3 linked regions of the Schizosaccharomyces pombe genome follow. The gene in region 2 interacts genetically with the main gene of each other region. Each region holds a gene or a part of one and is shown on either strand. Other genes may lie near its edges.

Region 1 (4,896 bases), 1.4 Mb from region 2:
AAAGTTCATCTTGCCTTACAGTTTCACAATTGTCCCCCAAGTCGACAATTTATAGAATCAGAAAGAAATACTTTGCTTCAAAAAAAATCGATAAATTATTAATCTGGGTGTATAGTATTTCATTTGTTTACTTTCAATAACAACATATTTAAGGCTCTGTAGCTATGCTTGATTGTACAGCAGTGAATCACATCAAGGTTTTTCCATACACTAACAGAAAATTCTTGACTACCTCTCCAAAGTCAAGTTGTACAAATCATGAGCATAAATCGCACACATTCTACTCATCAATCCCATTGCCAAGAGTTAAAGTATTTTGAGGATATGCGTTATTAAGTGTATCGTGTAAGCTACGCAGTTTGGTATCTGATTTAAGGATACGAAGAACTGCGGTGAGTTTTCCTTGTGGTCTATTATATTACAATACACAGGTTGTATAAGTAGCAACTGAGTATAGGTATTGTATTAACTGGGCTATAATGTTACCTATCACTAATATAGCTCATAACTGAACTGAGGAACGAGGTTCAGTTGTAACGCTATTTATAATATTTCTAAATAGTTGTTATCAACGGGTATCTATGTATATAGACGGATAGTTACCCGTGATTATCAATAAACGGATCTTAGCTAGTATTCCAACATATGACATATAGTGATACGCAACGTAGTGTATCATAGCGTAGTGTAGTATTGCTGACATATCGTAATGTACCCAATTACGGTAGAATGATTAAGAGAATTGTATTTAGGAATATACCGCCTTTAGTATTATGCGAAACGCTATTTTTTGTAATGAGCCATTTCTTTCGCGCACTAGCAAAATAGTCTCATATTGCTACTTCACGAATAGCAAAAATAAGTCATATAAAATAAGTAGCTCAAGGTAATTACTGTTTTCGGCATAATACTTTATACATCTTGGCAAATTTCTTATATAAACAGCGTCCCCCTCAGAGAACTTTTTCTGTTTTCTACCAAAATAATATGTAGGTAGATCGATGGATAGAAGCGATTAACGTATTTGCAAAACAGATCATCAGGATTTTTTTTAACTCCAAAATAACCATAGTGTCACTCGCTTCCTAGTACAAAGCATTACTATGGTTATGTTATTTTATTTTTTAAAAGCTCAATGATATTATCAGCAGTTGTACTTGCGATTCTTTCTCAAAAATGCATACTGAGAGGTTTGTTCATTATGGGAAAATTATGAGTTCACGAATATTTCTTTCTAGAGCGAATTTTATTATCCTCCTCACGTCGATTGAAGCTTCATAACAATTTGACTGTTACAAGCGATTGCTCCTAACAACTTCCGTGAACGAACGGGCTTTGCAAGTCTACCGACCGGCCTTAGGCTCTTCACACCTAGACTCAAAACGCTAATCTATATACATGTAGGACTTTTATTCTGCGAACTCTAGTGGGATTTACTGAACCAAATGGGGGTTTGATATTTTAGCTAGTCTATGCATTTGAATCTCTATGCAATGTTTGTCTACTCAAGTTTCCCTTTCTTTGAAGATCTTTACCCCCATTAGCGACCTTACTTCAACGTGGTCATTCTTACCTTACGCTAAATGTTTTAACGTCTACGAAAACGAGAACGACGATTGCTATTACCGCAACTTTAGATATCGTTATTTATTCTTCGAGTGGCGCGTTATCATCTTTAGCGGAATTTCAATTCCGCGAAGGAGCACGTAATATGATTACGAATACTGGTGGAGTAAGCCAACGCCAAGCTGAGGTGATGCTCGGCGTAGCTTATTGGCCTATTTTGGAGGCTCGAAGGCACGGACTAGACAATGCTTTGTAAAGCAAATTTGTTAAATCGATAAGTATAAAGACAATTTCTTCGTTTTTAGAATATAAAAAAACATTGGTCATATCGAAAAATTGATTTGAGTTGATATCGTTAAAATTTCATGTATATTCCGCGTGGAGCTATTTACTATATAAGCGATGACACGCCGCCCTATCCTCTTCCAATTCCAAACAAAATTTTCGAAATCTCCAACTTTGAAGTGTGGTTAAAATCTTATTGATTTTCCTTCAAAACACTTAATTACTCAAAACACCCCTTCTCTTGTTGTATTTTTTTAAAGTAAATTATCGTCATACAAAATGGTTAGAGCTGTAGCAGTTCTTCGTGGTGACTCTAAGGTCAGTGGTGTCGTTACTTTTGAACAAGTCGATCAAAACTCTCAAGTTTCTGTGATTGTGGATCTCGTTGGCAATGACGCTAATGCCAAGCGTGGTTTCCATATTCACCAATTCGGTGATAATACCAACGGTTGTACCTCTGCTGGTCCTCACTTTAACCCAGAGGGTAAGACTCACGGTGACCGTACCGCCGCTGTTCGTCACGTTGGTGATCTTGGTAACTTGGAAAGCGATGCTCAGGGCAACATCAAGACTACTTTCTCTGATTCTGTTATCTCATTGTTTGGTGCCAACAGCATCATTGGCCGTACCATTGTCATTCATGCCGGTGAGGATGATCTTGGTAAGGGTACTAGTGAAGAGTCTTTGAAGACTGGTAACGCTGGTGCACGTAACGCTTGTGGTGTCATTGGTATTGCCGTCTAAATTTATTGAGTTTTTACGTCTTTTTGTTCAAATGGCTGTGGGTTTAGGTGTTGGTTAGTATTGTTATCATTTAGTTGAGTGATCTCAAATTTCTTTTTTTTTATGAAAAGTTCCGTATATTATGCTTCTATAGGTTCTGTATTAAAAAACTTAATTTAATTGATGATGATAAGTACTGTAGCTTTGTGGAAGCTGTTTGTTACTATTATGTTATATGTGTAAAAAAATGTAGTGATGTATTTTTGTCCTTAAGACTCTGCGTTCGAGTTTACATAAAATTCAGTTAATTAGAAGGAATTGTTGTAACTTTGTTTCGGTATTGATAATGAAGAAGCAAAAGCAGCAACAATTTTTGATCTTTTAGTCAGAAAACTTTGTTTTGCATCGTTGAGTTCGTGCATAAAGATGATAGAAAGTGCTTTTCGTATTGTTTAAAAAAAGATATATAGAATGTTGATTAATAGATACACACATAGTAGCAATATCAACACATCTTGTTAAAATTCTAATGGGTGAAGCCTTTTTTTTTATTAATCATAATACCATCGTTTCATCTTTGTTGATTTTGTTATTACTTTTACGTATCAATGAATTTTTACGAACTAATTTCAACTAAACAATAACGACAGGCAAGTTTGTGTAAACTGAAAACATCTGCACAAGTTGTATTTTAAAATAAATTTTATTCTATAAGTCTAAAGGTTCACATCCAGTGTGAACAATTAATAAAATAAGTGGTTAAATAATAACCAACTAATTCAAAAAGATGCAAAAAAGAAAAACTCAGCAAGAATAATTTTAATAAATTGATCTCTAAGCCGGCCTAGACGATATCCAAAAAGGGTTTCAAGTTGAGAGTAGTTCACGTTCCAGACGTGTATTATGAACAAAATGTAGTTTTTTAAATAGTTTGAAAACATACAAGCAATAAGTATAGTACATCTGAAGAAATCCAAAAAAGCACCTCGCAATACAATTCCGGACTTTGGTCATGCTTAAGCAGCAACAAGTGCACCATTGGAGCAACCGTATATAGAGGAGTCATAGCACGCATTACCACAAGCTAACAATGGAGACCCATTTATAATGGGACACAGTATATTGCCATAACAAATATAACTTTGTGAATCATACCAAGCTGATCCACATTGGGCTATCACATTAGTGGATGTAGCAGATGTAGTAGTAGGTGTAGGTGTAGTAGTTGTGGTAGGTGTAGGTGTGAAAGTTGTAGTAGCTTTTGTTGTTGTAACAGTGTTTGGAGACAAAGAACCATCAGAACAAACATATTGGGAAGGATTATAGCATGCACCATTACAACTCAAGTAATCCACTCCGTCTATTATAGGACATAACTGATCATTGTCACAATAATAAGAGGATGCGTCGTAGTAGTTAGAGCCACATAGTTGCATGCCAGTTGACTGTGCGGTAGTAGTTGTTGAAGTTGTAGTAGGTGTGGGTGTTATTGAGGAAGTAGTTGTGGGAGTAGGCGTAATGGAGGAAGTGGTCGATGAAGATTGAACAGGGCCCAAAGCTCCATTGTCGCAGCCATATTGCGAAGGGTTATAGCAAGCTCCGTTGCAGTTTTGATATGATACACCATTAACAATAGGGCAGAGTACAGTTCCGTCGCATACATACAAACTTGCATCAAACGTAGCACCATTACAAGTACCAGAGATGCTTGTAGTAGTAGGAGTCGAAGTATAGGATATAGGTAGTGTACAACTGGCAGTTGCAGTAGTAGAGGTTGTCGTAACACTTCCGGTACTCGTAGAGGTCGTGGTGGTAGAAGAAGAGCTAACAGGATAATAAACGGCATCATTAGCCCATAAGCCAGCGGCATAAGCCAAATACCAGGCACGAGAGGCCCCGTCATCTAAGTAATCGGTATTAAAATCAGAACTGGAGAAATATTCATAACTTTCTTCAGGTTCAGCAATAGCTAGATTAGCATATAAAAGACTTCTCCAACCGCTATCTACATAGTCAATGACACTAGCAAGTAAGGCATTCCATTCAGCTAGTACAAAGCTAGGACCACGGATAAAAGCTGAAATTGGAGTGATAGGCAACATATGAATTCCTTGGATGTACTCAATATTAGTACCAAAATAGGTAGTGTGAGTAATTTTGTTCATGAATGTAATACCGGCAACATAATTAGGTTGCATAGAAGTGGGCTGGACGTTTCCATCAGCATACAGCATGTACTTATTCAAAGCATTTCTTTCAATGCCCAAAATAATGTTTGCGCGATCCTCCATATCAGAATCGCCAATTACTTGACCCCAAAGT
Region 2 (10,248 bases):
AAACGAAATTGCTTTGAAGAATAATATTACTTTAGAAAAAGTATTTGAAACTGTAAAGCTCGCTCGTGATGCAGGTGTAACTATCCCTATAATTTTGATGGGTTACTACAATCCTATTTTCAGTTATGGAGATGCCAAAACTATTCAAAAGGCAAAGGAGGTTGGCGCTAATGGTTTCATCATCGTTGACCTTCCTCCAGAGGAGGCTGTCGGCTTTAGAGAAGAATGTAAAAAGCAAGGTGTTAGTTTCGTTCCTCTTGTTGCTCCTTCTACTACGGACAGGCGTATGGAGCTCTTGGCCTCTGTGGCTGACTCCTTTATTTACGTTGTTTCTCGTATGGGTAGTACAGGATCATCTGCTACCGGAGTAATCAATACTGCTTTGCCTCAGCTCTGTCAGCGTGTTCGTAAATTTGCTGGAGATACCCCTCTAGCAGTTGGTTTTGGTGTTAACACCAGTGAACATTTCCACCAAGTTGGCAGCGTGTCAGATGGTGTTGTAGTTGGAAGCAAAATTATCGATTTGATTTTGAAGGCAGAGCCTGGCACTGCTGCTACCGTGGTTGAGGAATATTGTAAATATCTTACTAAAGAAGACCCATCCGCACCTGTACCTAAACAGTTTCAATCCGGTGGTTCTGTTGCTACTGCCCCCCCTGCTGCTGTGGTCGAACCTATCAACGAAATGTATCTTCCTCAAAAATATGGCATGTTTGGTGGTATGTATGTTCCAGAAGCATTAACCCAGTGCTTAGTTGAACTTGAAAGTGTATTTTATAAGGCTTTGCATGATGAAAAGTTTTGGGAAGAATTTCGTTCTTATTATGAGTATATGGGTCGTCCAAGTGCCCTCGATTATGCTAAGCGTTTAACTGAGTATTGTGGTGGTGCCCATATTTGGTTGAAGCGTGAAGACTTGAATCATGGTGGTTCACACAAAATTAACAACTGTATTGGGCAAATTCTTCTTGCCAAACGTTTAGGAAAAAACCGTATCATTGCTGAAACTGGTGCTGGTCAGCATGGAGTTGCTACTGCTATCTGTGCCGCTAAATTTGGTATGAAATGTACTATCTACATGGGTGCAGAAGATTGTCGTCGTCAAGCACTCAACGTTTTTCGCATCCGTCTTTTGGGAGCTGAAGTCGTTCCGGTTACTTCAGGTACACAGACCCTTCGTGATGCTGTTAACGAAGCTTTGAAGGCGTGGGTCGAACAAATAGACACCACTCATTATTTAATTGGATCTGCAATTGGCCCTCATCCATTCCCTACCATTGTTAAAACTTTCCAAAGTGTCATTGGCGAGGAAACGAAAGCGCAAATGCAAGAGAAGCGTAAAAAACTTCCTGATGCAGTTGTTGCTTGTGTTGGTGGTGGATCCAATTCGATTGGAATGTTTTCTCCCTTCAAAGCCGATAAAAGTGTAATGATGTTGGGTTGTGAAGCTGGTGGTGATGGTGTAGATACCCCCAAACATAGTGCTACATTGACTATGGGAAAAGTTGGTGTATTTCATGGAGTTCGAACATATGTTCTGCAACGCGAAGATGGACAAATTCAAGATACTCACTCTATATCTGCTGGATTGGATTATCCAGGTGTGGGACCCGAATTATCTGAACTTAAATATACCAATCGCGCAGAGTTTATCGCTGTCACTGATGCTCAATGTTTAGAAGGATTCCGCGCTCTATGTCATCTTGAAGGTATCATTCCCGCTTTGGAATCTTCTCATGCTGTGTATGGTGGAATGGAGCTTGCTAAAAAGTTACCTAAAGATAAGGATATTGTGATCACCATTTCAGGTCGTGGTGACAAGGATGTTCAAAGCGTAGCTGAACAACTTCCTATTTTAGGTCCTAAAATTGGATGGGACCTTCGCTTTTAAGCAATGTTCTACTCACGATTTTCTGATTTATATTAAGGCTCCGTAAACTTAAGCGGAGTTGCGATCTATAGATATACAAGCATCGCATGCGATTAAACTTTTTTATACCAAAACATATGTGTATTTCTTTTTATCTATAAATATCATTTCAATTTTGCTTCTACTATTTACTAGCCTTAAATAGCGTTGTAGTCATGTAATAACCTGTACATAATACTGTACTTATTTACCTAATAAAGGTTTTCTGTGGATTTAATTTCTTAGGCTAATTTTTCAAAGGCTTAAGAGAATTATGTGTATGCTGAAGAAGAACATTCAACAAAGCGGTTTTCTTTAGTCTATGATTTTGAGAATCATGTCCTATTTACACTACAATGCAAGTGCAAAAAATGTTTTAAAACAATTTATCAGCACGAGCAAGATGTCGTAGTATTTTCAATTTATATGGTTTTGGCTTTTTAGAGTCGCGACATAGTCTATTAACATAAGCTTTAATCTTTGGTATATTAGCAAATCTTCCAGATTGAAGTTAGCAGTTTATGGAGAGAAAATAAAATTCTTTCTGTATATTCGCCTAATAAGACCACTCAAGTCTTTAGCACTGAATAATAAAAAGTGTCACAAATCTTTGAACTATGGTAAAACTCCCAATTACAATTACTTAAGTTCGCACTCCTAAAACAGCATTACCCGTAGAATAAATTGAAAAAAAAGTATAAAATCAAACAAGTGGTACAGATCAAATTTTTAAAAATTTAGTAATGTTTCTATGTTTTTATATTACAATATTCAGATAGGTAGTATTCTCGCTTACAGTTTAGACAGTAAATGTAACATTAGTGTTTCTCCACAATTCCCCACATAGTTAATAGTAAAGTTGAGGACAAAATTATGATTTATCTATATATTCTATGAATTACATATGACCCTAGATGTACCCATTCGACAAAAGTATCCTTCAAATAATAGGTCTTAAAAACAAAGACTTGCTCATTAGAAGCAATCGATCGTTCATTCACTTTACTAAAGGATTTACCAATATGTATTGGGGGCGTCGTTTCTAAGGCAAGGTAGTACGTTAGAGTTCGTAATATAATTGTTCGGTTAGTTAAGTGAAGAGCGATATGTGAATTAAAACCACCACATCAACCATATAAAAACTACATTATTTATGAAACCATAAGCATTCTGTTTAATTCATTAAATTAGGACAGAAATTAATTAGGCTCTTGCAAGGATCAAATTGGAGTGAAATTGCATCTCTTTACGATATTTCAAGTTGTGTTTTATTGCATTAGATTTAGAGGAGCAATCAGCAACGATCTATTAGCAGTGAACGTTAACGAATATCTCAATTACATTCGGATCTTTAATTATTTGGTTTATTTATTTTTTTAATAACAAAAAAGGGAAAGAAAAATTGGGGAAAGAGAAGGGAATAATTATATTGTTAATTTTGCAATATTTTTTATCATTTAATTAGCAAACTTTTATTATTTAATTTTTAGGCAAATTTGACAACTCATCTCTTCATTTAGTCAATTTTTATTTGTTTTGACATTTGTGAGATATCCAGGGATCGATAGCCTCTGTCTACAAAGGGTCGTGTCTCTTAGTTTTCGTCAATCAGTTTCTTTCAAGATCTAGAAGGCGTACTAATTATTTCTACTTGGAGACTTTAAAGCTTGGGTATTGCTTGTCCACTGTGCTTATGTATCTGAACATAGCTACAATCTCTGCTACAAAAGCTAAAGAGAGAAGTCCCCTCCAAGAAGGGATCAAATTTATTTCGTTAGGGTTTTCTTCTGGTCAAACTTTTTTTTGGATAGGATAAGTTTTTAATTACAATAAATTCAGCGGCTGGGGTTTCATAAGTGCCCCATATTTCGAGGGTACCAGGTTCACGTTTTTTGCGTCTCCTCAAGTACTCAGAGATTCCACGGAATTTCTTTCAATTTAATTTTTTTTACATCATTTTATTTCTCTGAGCTTTCTTTAATTAATCTTCCAAAGTCACCATTCAATTTGCATTTCTTGGCATACTTTTTGAAGCAAATTTTTATTTCTCATAAGGATTTTATTTTCATTTCATTTTATTTCTAAGAACAATATGCGTAGTTATTCGAACCCAGAAAATGGTGGTCAAATTAATGACAATATTAATTATTCTGAGAAGCGACCTACAATGCTCCCGGAGAATTTGTCCTTGAGCAACTATGACATGGATTCTTTTCTCGGTCAGTTTCCATCTGATAATAACATGCAATTACCCCATTCAACGTATGAGCAGCATCTTCAAGGGGAACAGCAAAATCCTACCAATCCTAATTATTTTCCTCCTGAATTTGACGAAAACAAAGTAGATTGGAAACAGGAGAAACCCAAACCGGATGCACCGAGTTTTGCAGATAATAATTCATTTGATAATGTGAATAGTTCGAAATTGACGAATCCATCGCCAGTTCAACCTAATATTGTTAAATCTGAGTCGGAACCTGCTAATTCAAAGCAAAATGAAGTTGTTGAAGCTACATCTGTTGAGAAAGCTAAGGAGAATGTCGCTCACGAAAGTGGTACTCCTGAGAGCGGCGGATCTACTTCTGCGCCAAAGAGCAAAAAACAGCGCCTTACTGCAGATCAACTTGCTTATTTGCTTCGGGAATTCTCCAAAGATACTAATCCACCTCCAGCTATAAGGGAAAAAATTGGACGCGAGTTGAATATTCCGGAACGTAGCGTAACTATTTGGTTTCAAAACAGAAGAGCAAAATCAAAGCTCATTTCAAGACGTCAAGAAGAAGAAAGACAAAGGATCCTTCGTGAGCAGAGAGAATTGGATTCCTTAAATCAAAAAGTTTCACAAGCATTTGCGCACGAAGTATTGTCTACTTCACCTACCAGTCCCTACGTTGGGGGAATAGCAGCTAATAGGCAGTATGCGAACACGTTATTGCCTAAACCAACTAGAAAAACAGGAAACTTTTATATGAAAAGTGGACCTATGCAATCTTCCATGGAGCCATGCATAGCAGAGTCAGACATTCCGATCCGTCAGTCTCTTTCTAGTACATACTACAATAGTCTAAGTCCAAATGCCGTTCCTGTCTCAAGTCAAAGGAAATACTCTGCCTCTTCTTATTCCGCAATCCCAAATGCTATGTCGGTATCAAATCAAGCTTTCGACGTAGAATCTCCACCCTCTTCGTATGCTACTCCACTTACAGGCATCCGTATGCCTCAACCAGAGTCAGATCTTTACTCCTATCCTAGAGAAGTGAGCCCTAGTTCTGGGGGTTACAGAATGTTCGGTCATTCCAAGCCTTCATCATACAAAGCATCAGGGCCTGTTCGTCCTCCTAATATGGCAACAGGGCACATGCGTACTTCTTCAGAACCGACCTCATATGATTCGGAATTTTACTACTTTTCTTGTACATTACTAGTAATTGGTTTATGGAAAAGACTACGAGCCTCTCCTCAGGATTTAATGTGTTTCTACTCTCCGCCAAAGAAATTATTTGCATATTTGATTCAATTCCAGGGGATTCAGTATCGTATTGAATATTCTTTTTTTGTCATTGAGTCGATACACGTTTTTAGAGTAGAGGAGCCCTTGTTAAATGAGTTGAGTGCAACTGCGTCTAGTCGAGATAAACCGGCACCAAATGAATATTGGCTTCAAATGGATATTCAGCTGAGTGTTCCACCAGTATTTCACATGATCACTTCCGAAGGACAGGGAAATTGTACGGATTTTACTGAGGGTAATCAGGCTTCGGAAGTTTTATTACATTCTTTGATGGGAAGAGCTACTAGCATGTTTCAAATGCTCGATCGGGTTCGAAGGGCATCGCCAGAGTTGGGGTCTGTAATCCGCCTTCAAAAAGGTCTTAATCCTCACCAATTTTTGGACCCTCAATGGGCTAATCAACTTCCTAGACAACCTGATAGCTCTGTATTTGATCATCAAGGAAGAAACCCTCCTATCCAGGGATTGTCTCATGACACTTCTTCTGAATATGGCAATAAAAGCCAGTTTAAAAGGCTTCGTAGCACTTCAACCCCTGCTAGACAGGATTTGGCTCAGCATCTTTTACCTCCGAAAACTAATACTGAAGGGCTTATGCATGCTCAATCTGTGTCTCCTATTACTCAAGCAATGAAATCTGCTAATGTTTTGGAAGGAAGTTCTACAAGACTAAACTCTTATGAGCCTTCAGTTTCATCTGCTTATCCGCACCATAATTTAGCGCTTAATCTTGATAACACGCAGTTTGGTGAGCTTGGCACATCTAATATATCATATCCTTTATCGGCACCATCCGATGTCGGCTCACTTCCTCGAGCATCCAATTCACCAAGCCGACCTGTGATGCATCCAAATACACAAGGTATTAACACGGAAATAAAAGACATGGCAGCGCAGTTTCCCAATTCACAAACTGGTGGTCTCACTCCAAATTCATGGTCAATGAACACAAACGTATCCGTCCCATTTACGACTCAAAACAGAGAATTTGGCGGCATTGGCTCTTCTTCAATTTCCACCACGATGAATGCACCAAGTCAACAGTTATCTCAGGTACCATTTGGAGATGTCTCCCTTGCTACTGAGAACTCTGTCCCGTCGTATGGATTTGAAGTACCATCTGAAGAGTCTGTTTACGCGCAAGCCCGTACAAATTCATCTGTTTCTGCTGGGGTTGCTCCTCGGTTATTCATTCAAACACCGTCTATACCTTTAGCATCATCTGCTGGACAGGATAGTAATTTAATTGAGAAAAGTAGTAGCGGTGGTGTGTATGCGTCGCAACCCGGAGCTTCGGGCTACTTATCTCATGACCAAAGTGGTAGTCCATTTGAGGATGTTTACTCTCCTTCTGCTGGTATAGATTTTCAGAAACTTCGTGGTCAACAATTTTCTCCGGACATGCAGTAAATTTTGTGATATGATGATTAACGGTACAATTGAAACTCGCTTGAAGCTTGCTTATTTTCGTTTTCTTTTGATAACGAGAAGATGTTTAACTCTTGAAAATTACATGCCTCGTTTGTATTTTTATGACCGCTTACGTTTTTATAAATTCATCAATATCTCTAAAAGGTTTAAAGGATTAATTTTTGATCTATATTATACAAGGTATTCTTGAATAATGTTTAATTTGGTGATAAAAATACAATTCCATGGAAAAAAATTGTGCTTCCATGTATTATTGTCTGGGAAGAACTTTGATGCGAAAAAAAAAATAAAAGACCTCTACAAGGCACTTCATATACGATTATGTATGGTTTATGTTTTTTTTACTTCTTTAATTTTATTTTATTTTATGTTCCAAAGCGATAGGAGGTATTACATATTGTTGTATCGTGTATGCAATACTTAATGATCCTAGCATTTCATTTGAAGAAACTCCGTCAATGATCGAATCCAAATTCCACTGAAAAAATGTAATGGAGTTTGAACAGTATCGTACCCACGAGCGTGAGTTGGATTATTGAGTTTTTGCATGTTTAGCCGACACATATTTTTTTGGCGACTTTAAACTTTTTTATTTACCATTTATTTCTCTTTTTAAGTTATGAATAATTTCTTTTTCCTCATGTATATTATTACTTTATTTTCATGTTTTTTTTTTTATTAATTTGACATTTAGGACGATTATTATTTTCGTTATTTCTCCTTTCCAGCGGGAACGTTTCAGCATCACAGTTTTTGCACATAAACTATAATAATTTTGAAAGCATTATGAGTTAATTTAGTAGAATTAGATTCTTTGAAACATAATCCATCAACGAAGCTGTCCGCCTTTTTTTTAAGAGGTGCATGCCATATATAGTCATTTTCTGTGTAAATAAACATTTCACTAGTAGATAATTTTTTGAGATGAGCAAAGAATTGAATGAACCAAAGTAATAATTGTTAAGATATAATATTAGAAAATTTATTTTAAAGATGTATATTAGAATGTATTTAGACTAAGCTCGTAATATATATTTTTTTCATTTTCTTAAAATTTATTTTGTTTTATTATAAGAATGAATTTATGTTTCATGAATGGAGAATATCAATAAAAAAATTGTTTGGAGGTGACAAATATATAAGATTTGCTTTTAATATCTATAAAATAATTTTTATCAGTTAGTACAAAAGTATAGGACAAAAATATGAACAATGATTTCGGGCGCCTACTTTGAAGGTGATGTTGTTTTTTGCTGATGCCTATAAGCTGAAGCTAAAGCAGCACACACCAGATTAGATAGATGATTGATTATACTGAAACACTCTAAGATACGGAAATTCTCCGAACAATAAGAAAGCCAAAAAAGAGAAAAAGAAGTGAAAGAAACGCCTTCCATATATCGATTGAACATTGCGACCAATCGATCAACTAACAAGAACAAGTAAGCCAGCCCAGCCCTTCTTCTTCCACTGTTTACCGAATAATGAAGAACAATATGTAGCAAGCCAGTAAATAGCGATACTTACTGCAATATATAACCACATCACATATTTAGCGCATGACGTAGTTTACTTCTTCAAACTACACTATAGTTTTGGACATGAAACGGTTGAACGTCAATATAGTGTCTTAATGACGAGAATGCACGTATTCTTGAACCTGTCATTACTAGAGTAGCCATTCTCATATGAGCCATTCTTTTATGAACAGGAGAGTGGATTGACACTAATACTTCGTAAGTAAAGATGATTATGCAAGTTTTCATGACGCCACAGCCTAATTCGAGTATGGCTGAGATAGTCATAACGTAAAGGCTTTAAATAAATGTATTTAATGTCGCCATGGTCCTATAAAGTTATAATCTTTGTACAGAATTGAAATAAAGTTGCGACAAGGAATTTTAGGAAAATAAAGCGAAACCATATATCTCTTTACTTAAGGAGGATTCCATCAAAGCGACATTTGATTATTTGTTTGATTGATCGCACTTGTGTGTCTGTCTATCCCATAACAAGAGGTTTTTACTGTAAAATCCTGATTTTGGAGTGCTGAAGAGGAAAGGATATCTTCAGTCTTGTTTATTTATCACTTTTACACTTGTAACCATCTGATATTAGCTGACGTGTCTCGCTTGTTACTATCATTAAGTGATTAATTGCTGCTAATCTTTTTCGCATTAGTCGTTGAGCAAGTATGGCGGTTGCTTATCCCACTGACAAGCATGTTGTGCATGAGGAAACTGGAAAAGGATTAGAAGTTTATTCAATATGGACAGCTATTTCGAACGGCAAGATGCCCTCGAACAAACAGCTTCGAGGGCTCGGTTCGTCGCTGACGGACGGTGCGAAATCCGTTGCCAAAGAGAGGCAAAAGAAAATCTCTGATCCGGCTCGGAAATTTTTTAGTGACTTTTCCAAGCTTATTGATAATAGCTTTAATGTATTTGCGAAAAAGAACGAAGGAGATTTGCTCCAAAACGCAATTTATGAATTATCGCAAGCTGAAGGCTCTACAAATGTTAATGAGGTTTGGAATGATATCACCGAAGATATGCAAAGTCAAGATTTCAGTACCGAGGACCTGAAGCAGTTGTTCTTGCTCATCTTTAACAATGGTAAACTGCGAACGCTTTTGCAAAACGCCATTGTACTTTTGGGCCAGCAAACAACGAATGTTGCCAGTAAAAAATTGAACGAGCAGGATGGAAAAAAATCGGATAACCTTCGCAATGGAGTGAACAAAGTTAAGCAAAACATGAGAAATGGAGCTTCCGCACGCGACCAAGCTCGCGAACAAGGAAGCAAGGCCAAAGATAAGATTAAAAATGATCCTGATGCGCAAAAGGCTAAAGAGGAAACCAAACAAAAACTTCAAGATCTTTACGAAGAGTTTAAATCTGTCGCTGTGGATTTGCAGGGAGATCCAAAATATCAGCATCCTGTTCGCAGTCTTTTGAATCTAATTGACAAGTTCATCGATAAACTCAGTGAACAGAGTGGAAATGTTACTGCTGACACTAACGAACATTACGATCGTGCTATGCAATATTTGAAGCAACTCGTGGAAAACATTTTAAATCGATCTCTTGATAATTTGATTGACACCTTAAAACAAGTACAGCATGATGCTGAGAATGATGAAGAACTAAAAGACTGGTTAGAATCTACCCGCCAGTTTGTTCGCAAGGTGCTTTTGAAAAAGGGCTATGCAAAAAGTGATGCCTCGGATAAAGAATTTAACAAGTTGCGAGATAAAGGCGATGAACTGCTTAACGGTCGGTACAAGAAACGTTGGCAACAACTCTCATCCGAAGTCAAAAAGATTTCCGATAGTGCTTCTTCCGACAAGGATGTCAAGCAATTATTTAGCAACTATAAAAATATATACGGCGATTTA
Region 3 (6,183 bases), 710 kb from region 2:
GAATTACTAATAATTGTGAAAAAGGAAGAAGGATTTATGGTGTTGTAATAAAGATTTATGATAATGAAATTGTGTTTCTACTCTTAGTATTCATTATTTTAAATTTAGTTTATATGGTTATTCATTTTCAAATTATGGGTATCAATTTTATTTTTATTTTTTTTCATTTTTATTTGATTTTTTTTCATTTATTTACCACTCTATATCGCTCAAAATTGAATATCTGCCAAGTTTTGGACCTATGCGGCATTCTTTCTACGAACCATTCAATTCTTCATACCTAACCCACTATTCATTTCTAACCCATTCTGTCTAAATAAACACAATGATAAAGATTAAACTCTTTCTAATCAAATTGTTGCAAATTCATTCTCAAATCGCTAAACACCAAACATATAAGGGAATAGCGTTCTTTCCACAACCCCCTAACCAAGTTTAACGAAAATCATTAAACACCATCCACTTTGCTATCTTTTGGCGATCCCTCACAAATACACACACTATCTTCTTAGCTGACGATCCTCATGCCGATCCTTGTGTGCGCTACTACTGGTCAAAACGCAACAACCATATCGTAAAAATTGTACATCATTAGTTATTAGTAATTGTTTTGGAATACGAATAATTAATTCTCCAACTCTATTCTTAAAACAACGAATTACACTGTACCGCCTTACATCGAAATTCAGAGGGTAGAACAGGGCAAAGCAAAGCAAGGCAGAGTAAAGCACAGTAGAGAGACAAAGGAGAAAGAGGAAAAATAGCATGAGGAAACACTTTCGCCCGACGTTCAACAGCCTCAATCATGCCTTTTCGTGCCACAAAACAAGGGGAAAGACATTCGTTCATGCCTTGCATAATTCACTAAAATCAATGGCTCTGTAATATGAGCAAACCATGTAGTATCAATGCTTCTCGTCATAGCAGCCCAAATCATCAAAGCAACCATACAACATTAATGATTGTGTATTTCACTCGCTGCGACCACACACACACACACACACACACACACGCACATTCATATTATTACAACACATTCATTTACTCACAATATCCATATACTCACAATACACACACACAAACACTTCCATTCCTTCACACAAACATTACAATACTACGTTGTTTACTCTCCATCCCTCCTCCCCTCCCGTAATAAACAAACAGCGACTGACCGCTTGCCCATCCATCCAAGCCCATCGCCACGTAAGCGACATTCGCAATCCCTTCCATCTTAATTGTCATTTACTTACGTATCAGGGAAGCGCATGACAACAAAGTCTAAAGGCTTTGTATGCACTCTTCTTACCCGAGAGTGGAGAGGTTCGCACATTGAATTTAGTAATTGGTCGGATACTTGTCATTGTTGTCCGAATATGTTTTTGTAGCCTGAACTTTAATGCAAGCTAATTTAATCAAAGTGCAATGGTATTCTTGCATGGAAATAGGAAGCTGATCAAGTAAGCCGAAGTTTTGCCTCTGTGATTTTACTTGACCAAATCGGTTGTGCGTATTGATACACCGATCAAAGATGAATCATGCTGCAAAGTCAATGCTGTAGGCCTTGTCACACAGATTATAAAAGGAGAGGCGGTTGCTGTCATTTCATTCGTCTTTAAAACAATTTTTCACGTTTCATACATATTTTTATTATTCTTTTTAGTTAAGAAAGAAACAAACTTAAAACCTCTCTCTCATCTATATCAAAGGAATTAATTCATCTTACTGTGCTCTGTATATTTCCTTTGTTTATCACATACTATACTATACTATACTATACTATACTATACTATACTTTTTTTTTTTTTTTTTTAATAAACCCAAATTTGTTTGTTTGACTTGCTTTTGAGATCCTTGTATCATTCCTCCTCTTTCTTTGTTGAGCTTTTTCATTTCCTTTGACCAATCTTTTCTCTTCTTTTCACCTCTATTCTCTTCTCTTCTCCTTCTCTTTTTCATTCTATCCTTTTGCTCTTCTTACTTGCTTGCTTGTCTTGTTTAAGTAGCGTGTTTTGTTGTACTCCTGTATCATGTCTTCCGAAAAAGTCCTCGTTGGTGAATACCTTTTCACCCGTTTGCTGCAATTGGGCATCAAATCCATCCTCGGTGTACCCGGCGACTTTAACTTGGCTTTGCTCGATTTGATTGAGAAAGTGGGCGACGAAACGTTTCGCTGGGTCGGTAATGAAAACGAGCTAAACGGTGCTTATGCCGCTGATGCTTATGCTCGTGTTAAGGGCATTTCTGCCATCGTCACCACTTTTGGCGTCGGTGAACTTTCCGCACTCAACGGTTTCGCCGGCGCATACTCTGAACGTATTCCTGTCGTTCACATTGTCGGTGTTCCCAACACCAAGGCTCAAGCCACTCGTCCCCTTCTTCATCACACACTGGGAAATGGTGACTTTAAAGTCTTCCAGCGTATGTCCTCCGAGTTGTCTGCCGATGTCGCCTTCCTGGATAGCGGTGACTCTGCCGGTCGTCTCATCGACAACCTGTTGGAAACGTGCGTTCGCACTTCAAGACCCGTTTATCTGGCCGTTCCTTCGGACGCCGGCTACTTCTACACGGATGCTTCTCCCTTGAAGACTCCATTGGTTTTCCCTGTTCCCGAAAACAACAAGGAGATTGAGCACGAGGTGGTTTCTGAGATTCTCGAATTGATCGAAAAATCCAAGAACCCTTCTATCCTCGTTGACGCTTGTGTTTCCCGCTTCCACATTCAACAGGAAACCCAAGACTTTATTGATGCGACCCATTTCCCCACTTACGTTACTCCCATGGGTAAGACTGCGATCAATGAGTCATCCCCCTACTTTGATGGCGTCTACATTGGCTCCTTGACCGAGCCTTCCATCAAAGAACGTGCCGAATCTACTGACTTGCTTCTCATCATCGGTGGTCTTCGCTCCGATTTCAACTCGGGCACCTTTACTTATGCTACCCCTGCATCTCAAACCATCGAATTTCATTCCGACTACACCAAAATTCGTTCTGGCGTTTACGAGGGCATTTCGATGAAACATTTGTTGCCCAAGCTCACCGCTGCCATTGACAAAAAGTCCGTTCAGGCAAAGGCCCGTCCTGTTCACTTTGAGCCACCAAAGGCTGTTGCTGCTGAGGGTTACGCCGAAGGAACCATTACCCACAAATGGTTCTGGCCTACGTTTGCCTCTTTTCTTCGTGAGTCCGATGTAGTGACTACCGAGACAGGTACCTCCAACTTTGGTATTTTGGATTGCATTTTCCCCAAAGGCTGCCAAAATCTCTCACAGGTATTATGGGGCTCAATTGGTTGGTCGGTTGGCGCTATGTTTGGTGCTACGTTGGGCATCAAGGATTCCGATGCTCCTCACCGTCGTTCCATATTGATTGTTGGTGACGGTTCCCTTCATTTAACTGTTCAGGAAATTTCTGCTACCATCCGTAACGGTCTCACCCCTATCATATTTGTAATTAACAATAAGGGATATACAATTGAACGTCTCATTCACGGTCTTCACGCTGTTTACAACGACATCAACACTGAATGGGACTATCAAAACCTTCTTAAAGGCTATGGTGCCAAAAATTCTCGCTCCTATAACATTCATTCAGAAAAGGAGCTCCTCGATCTCTTTAAAGATGAGGAATTTGGAAAAGCTGATGTAATTCAGCTCGTTGAAGTTCATATGCCTGTCTTGGATGCTCCTCGTGTTTTGATTGAGCAAGCCAAACTTACCGCTTCTCTTAACAAGCAGTAAAAAATATGGCTATGGCTATATTATTATGATATGTTTTTGATTTTGAAATTTACAATATTTCTCAAATGATGCTTTTGTTAGGTTAGTTAATTTGCAACAGTCGTTTTTTTTTTCTACGTCAATCCATATTTCTTTCATAAAATGAATGAATATATTGAAGTTTATGCAGCGGTTGTTTTTTTGTTGGTAATTAGGATTCATTGAATGATTTATTTTTTTTTTCTTTTTGCATCCCCTTACTCCAAGGTAGACTTGTCCAGATAATTCCCTGTTAGTATAAACTCAATAACATAAAAAAAGGTCATTGAGACGACTGGTAATGAGTAGCAGCAATAGAATCACTAAATAATATAGTACCTTCAATTTGGTCTCTCGTCTATGTCTTTGGCATAGATGGTAGATACAAAGCATTCGCTACAACCAAATCTTCCTCATGGCTTACAGATACCATTACGGGAGAAAGCGGAAATCGGGGATCATGAATAACAACGGAAGGGTAGCCTATATTAATCATAACAAAGTCAGTAACTTTACAAACCTTTTATTTTTAAACATTGAACATGGAAAACAAATGACACACCTGTGGGAGTTCGAACATACTCCATCATAGACATGTAAACTCGAAAATTCGGTTGTAAAGCTTTGAAAACAGCTTCTTTGACGCACCATCTACATAGGAAAATAACCGTTAAAACTATGAAACGATCATAAATATAGACAAGCATACCTAACAGCAAGCCATTTAGCCTGTTCGCTTAAACGAGGCAGCGAGGAATTGCTTTTAATCAGGTTGTACTTTTTAATTTCATTTTCACACAGACATTTTTTTAAAAAGTTCTTTTCCCATTCAGGAGAGCGTTGAATTAATCTTGAGATTCTTGAAATTTTTAAAATGTCAATCCCTAAACCCATTTCGATTTTTGATTCTTTATAACATGAACAGGAAATATTAATGGTAATGCAAGAAGAAAAAAAGAAATCTATGGCTTCAATAATTTTGAACGCTTAATTAATAATATATTGTAAACTAAATTTCCGACACACTAAACGAGATATAAAAATCTTTATCCTTAAATAAAATGAAATAAATTTATCTAATTCATTATCGATTAGTGCCCCCAAAGACATCAAATCCAATTCGTTTCGTAGCGAATGCAGTAGCAGGAGTTTTTACTGTAACAAGTGTACTCTCTACTCACTCCCAGTTACAAAAGTGTTCAAAGGGAACCAAAAATTATATATTTGTAATCCTTTCAATCACGAAAAAAAAAATTTCATATGGTAAGAGATAGAATTTATCTCTAGATAATACGAGTACTAACCATATAGTCACACTTTGAGATTTTATCCCTTGAAGGTCTTCGAAATGGTAAGCCAATTCATTTATGGGAAATGAAAAAGAAACTTAAAATTTACATTCAAACATCTATGATTCTTATAAAATGTATTAATCTTTCTGTGTGCTAATATTTGTTGCAAGATGGTCGACGGTGGGATGAGATGAGAAACTTTCAGTGTCGTATTGGAATCGAGCCTTCGGAGAATGGGTCGGCGTTTATTGAATTGGGTAACACAAAGGTCTTGTGTATAGTCGATGGACCCTCGGAGCCTGTAATAAAGTCCAAAGCTAGAGCTGACAGAACATTTGTGAATGTCGAAATAAACATTGCTTCTTTCAGCACAATAGATGTGAAAAAGAGATTTAAATCGGATAGGAGAATTCAATTGCAATGTTTAGCTTTACAAAATACATTTGAGGAGATAATTCAAACAGAATTATATCCCAGAAGTCAAATTTCTGTCTACTTGCATGTTTTACAAGATGATGGTGCAGTAATGGCATCTTGTATCAACGCTACTACTCTTGCCTTAATAGATGCTGGTATACCAGTTAAAGATTTCGTTTGCTGTAGTACAGCTGGGATTGTTGAGTCTGATATGCTGTTGGATTTAAACTCACTAGAGGAGTCAGCTCTTTCATGGTTGACGGTTGCTGTTTTGGGGAACATAAAAAAGGTCGTATATATGCAGCTGGAAACTAGTATGCATTTGGATTATTTGGAGTCAGTAATGAATATGGCGATCGCTGGATCAGAACATATTTATAACACGATGCAAAGTGCGGTTCGACAAAGCGCTAAACCGGCACTTGCAAGTCTCAGCTAATGACAAAATTTTGGGGAAAAAAACTATTAAAAATAAATGAACGGGAAGATTAATTTTTATAATTATACATTGATAAGTCATCACAATTGCAACTTTACTTAGCTCTACGATATTCTGACAAAACGTATACAGCTTTACTCATTTTATTCCTAGTACAACGTTTTTGTCCTTATCCTTGGTATTTCTGTATAAGTATCAAAAAAATCACCTCGAATATCGTATATAATCTTTTAATGATTGCGTCCCTTTTTTGTCTAAAGGGGCTTATATTACAAAA

Evidence for each region. A genetic interaction does not mean that the proteins touch.
Region 1: of phx1 (region 2) and sod1, extra expression of one rescues a mutant of the other (dosage rescue), as found in Schizosaccharomyces pombe (one study listed by BioGRID).
Region 3: of phx1 (region 2) and pdc201, changing one suppresses a phenotype caused by changing the other (phenotypic suppression), as found in Schizosaccharomyces pombe (one study listed by BioGRID).

What each region holds. Positions count from the first base shown.
Region 1 is NC_003424.3:1,000,698-1,005,593, reverse strand, and holds sod1 (superoxide dismutase Sod1), read left to right. Parts: upstream 1-1,993; 5' UTR 1,994-2,130; coding exon 2,131-2,595; 3' UTR 2,596-2,756; downstream 2,757-4,896. Other genes in the region: cell septum surface endo-1,3-beta-glucanase Eng1, read right to left, coding at 3,591-4,896. UniProt on the Schizosaccharomyces pombe protein: Destroys radicals which are normally produced within the cells and which are toxic to biological systems.
Region 2 is NC_003424.3:2,449,301-2,459,548, reverse strand, and holds phx1 (DNA-binding transcription factor, stationary phase-specific Phx1), read left to right. Parts: upstream 1-3,030; 5' UTR 3,031-4,001; coding exon 4,002-6,830; 3' UTR 6,831-7,756; downstream 7,757-10,248. Other genes in the region: trp2 (tryptophan synthase), read left to right, coding at 1-1,891; SPOM_SPAC32A11.02C (uncharacterized protein), read left to right, coding at 9,046-10,248. UniProt on the Schizosaccharomyces pombe protein: Trnascription factor that regulates the expression of the homocitrate synthase (HCS) lys4.
Region 3 is NC_003424.3:3,158,203-3,164,385, forward strand, and holds pdc201 (pyruvate decarboxylase), read left to right. Parts: upstream 1-1,608; 5' UTR 1,609-2,027; coding exon 2,028-3,740; 3' UTR 3,741-4,043; downstream 4,044-6,183. Other genes in the region: ppt2 (holo-[acyl-carrier-protein] synthase new8), read right to left, coding at 4,117-4,241, 4,321-4,409, 4,468-4,652; exosome 3'-5' phosphorolytic exoribonuclease Rrp41, read left to right, coding at 5,019-5,021, 5,070-5,109, 5,221-5,906.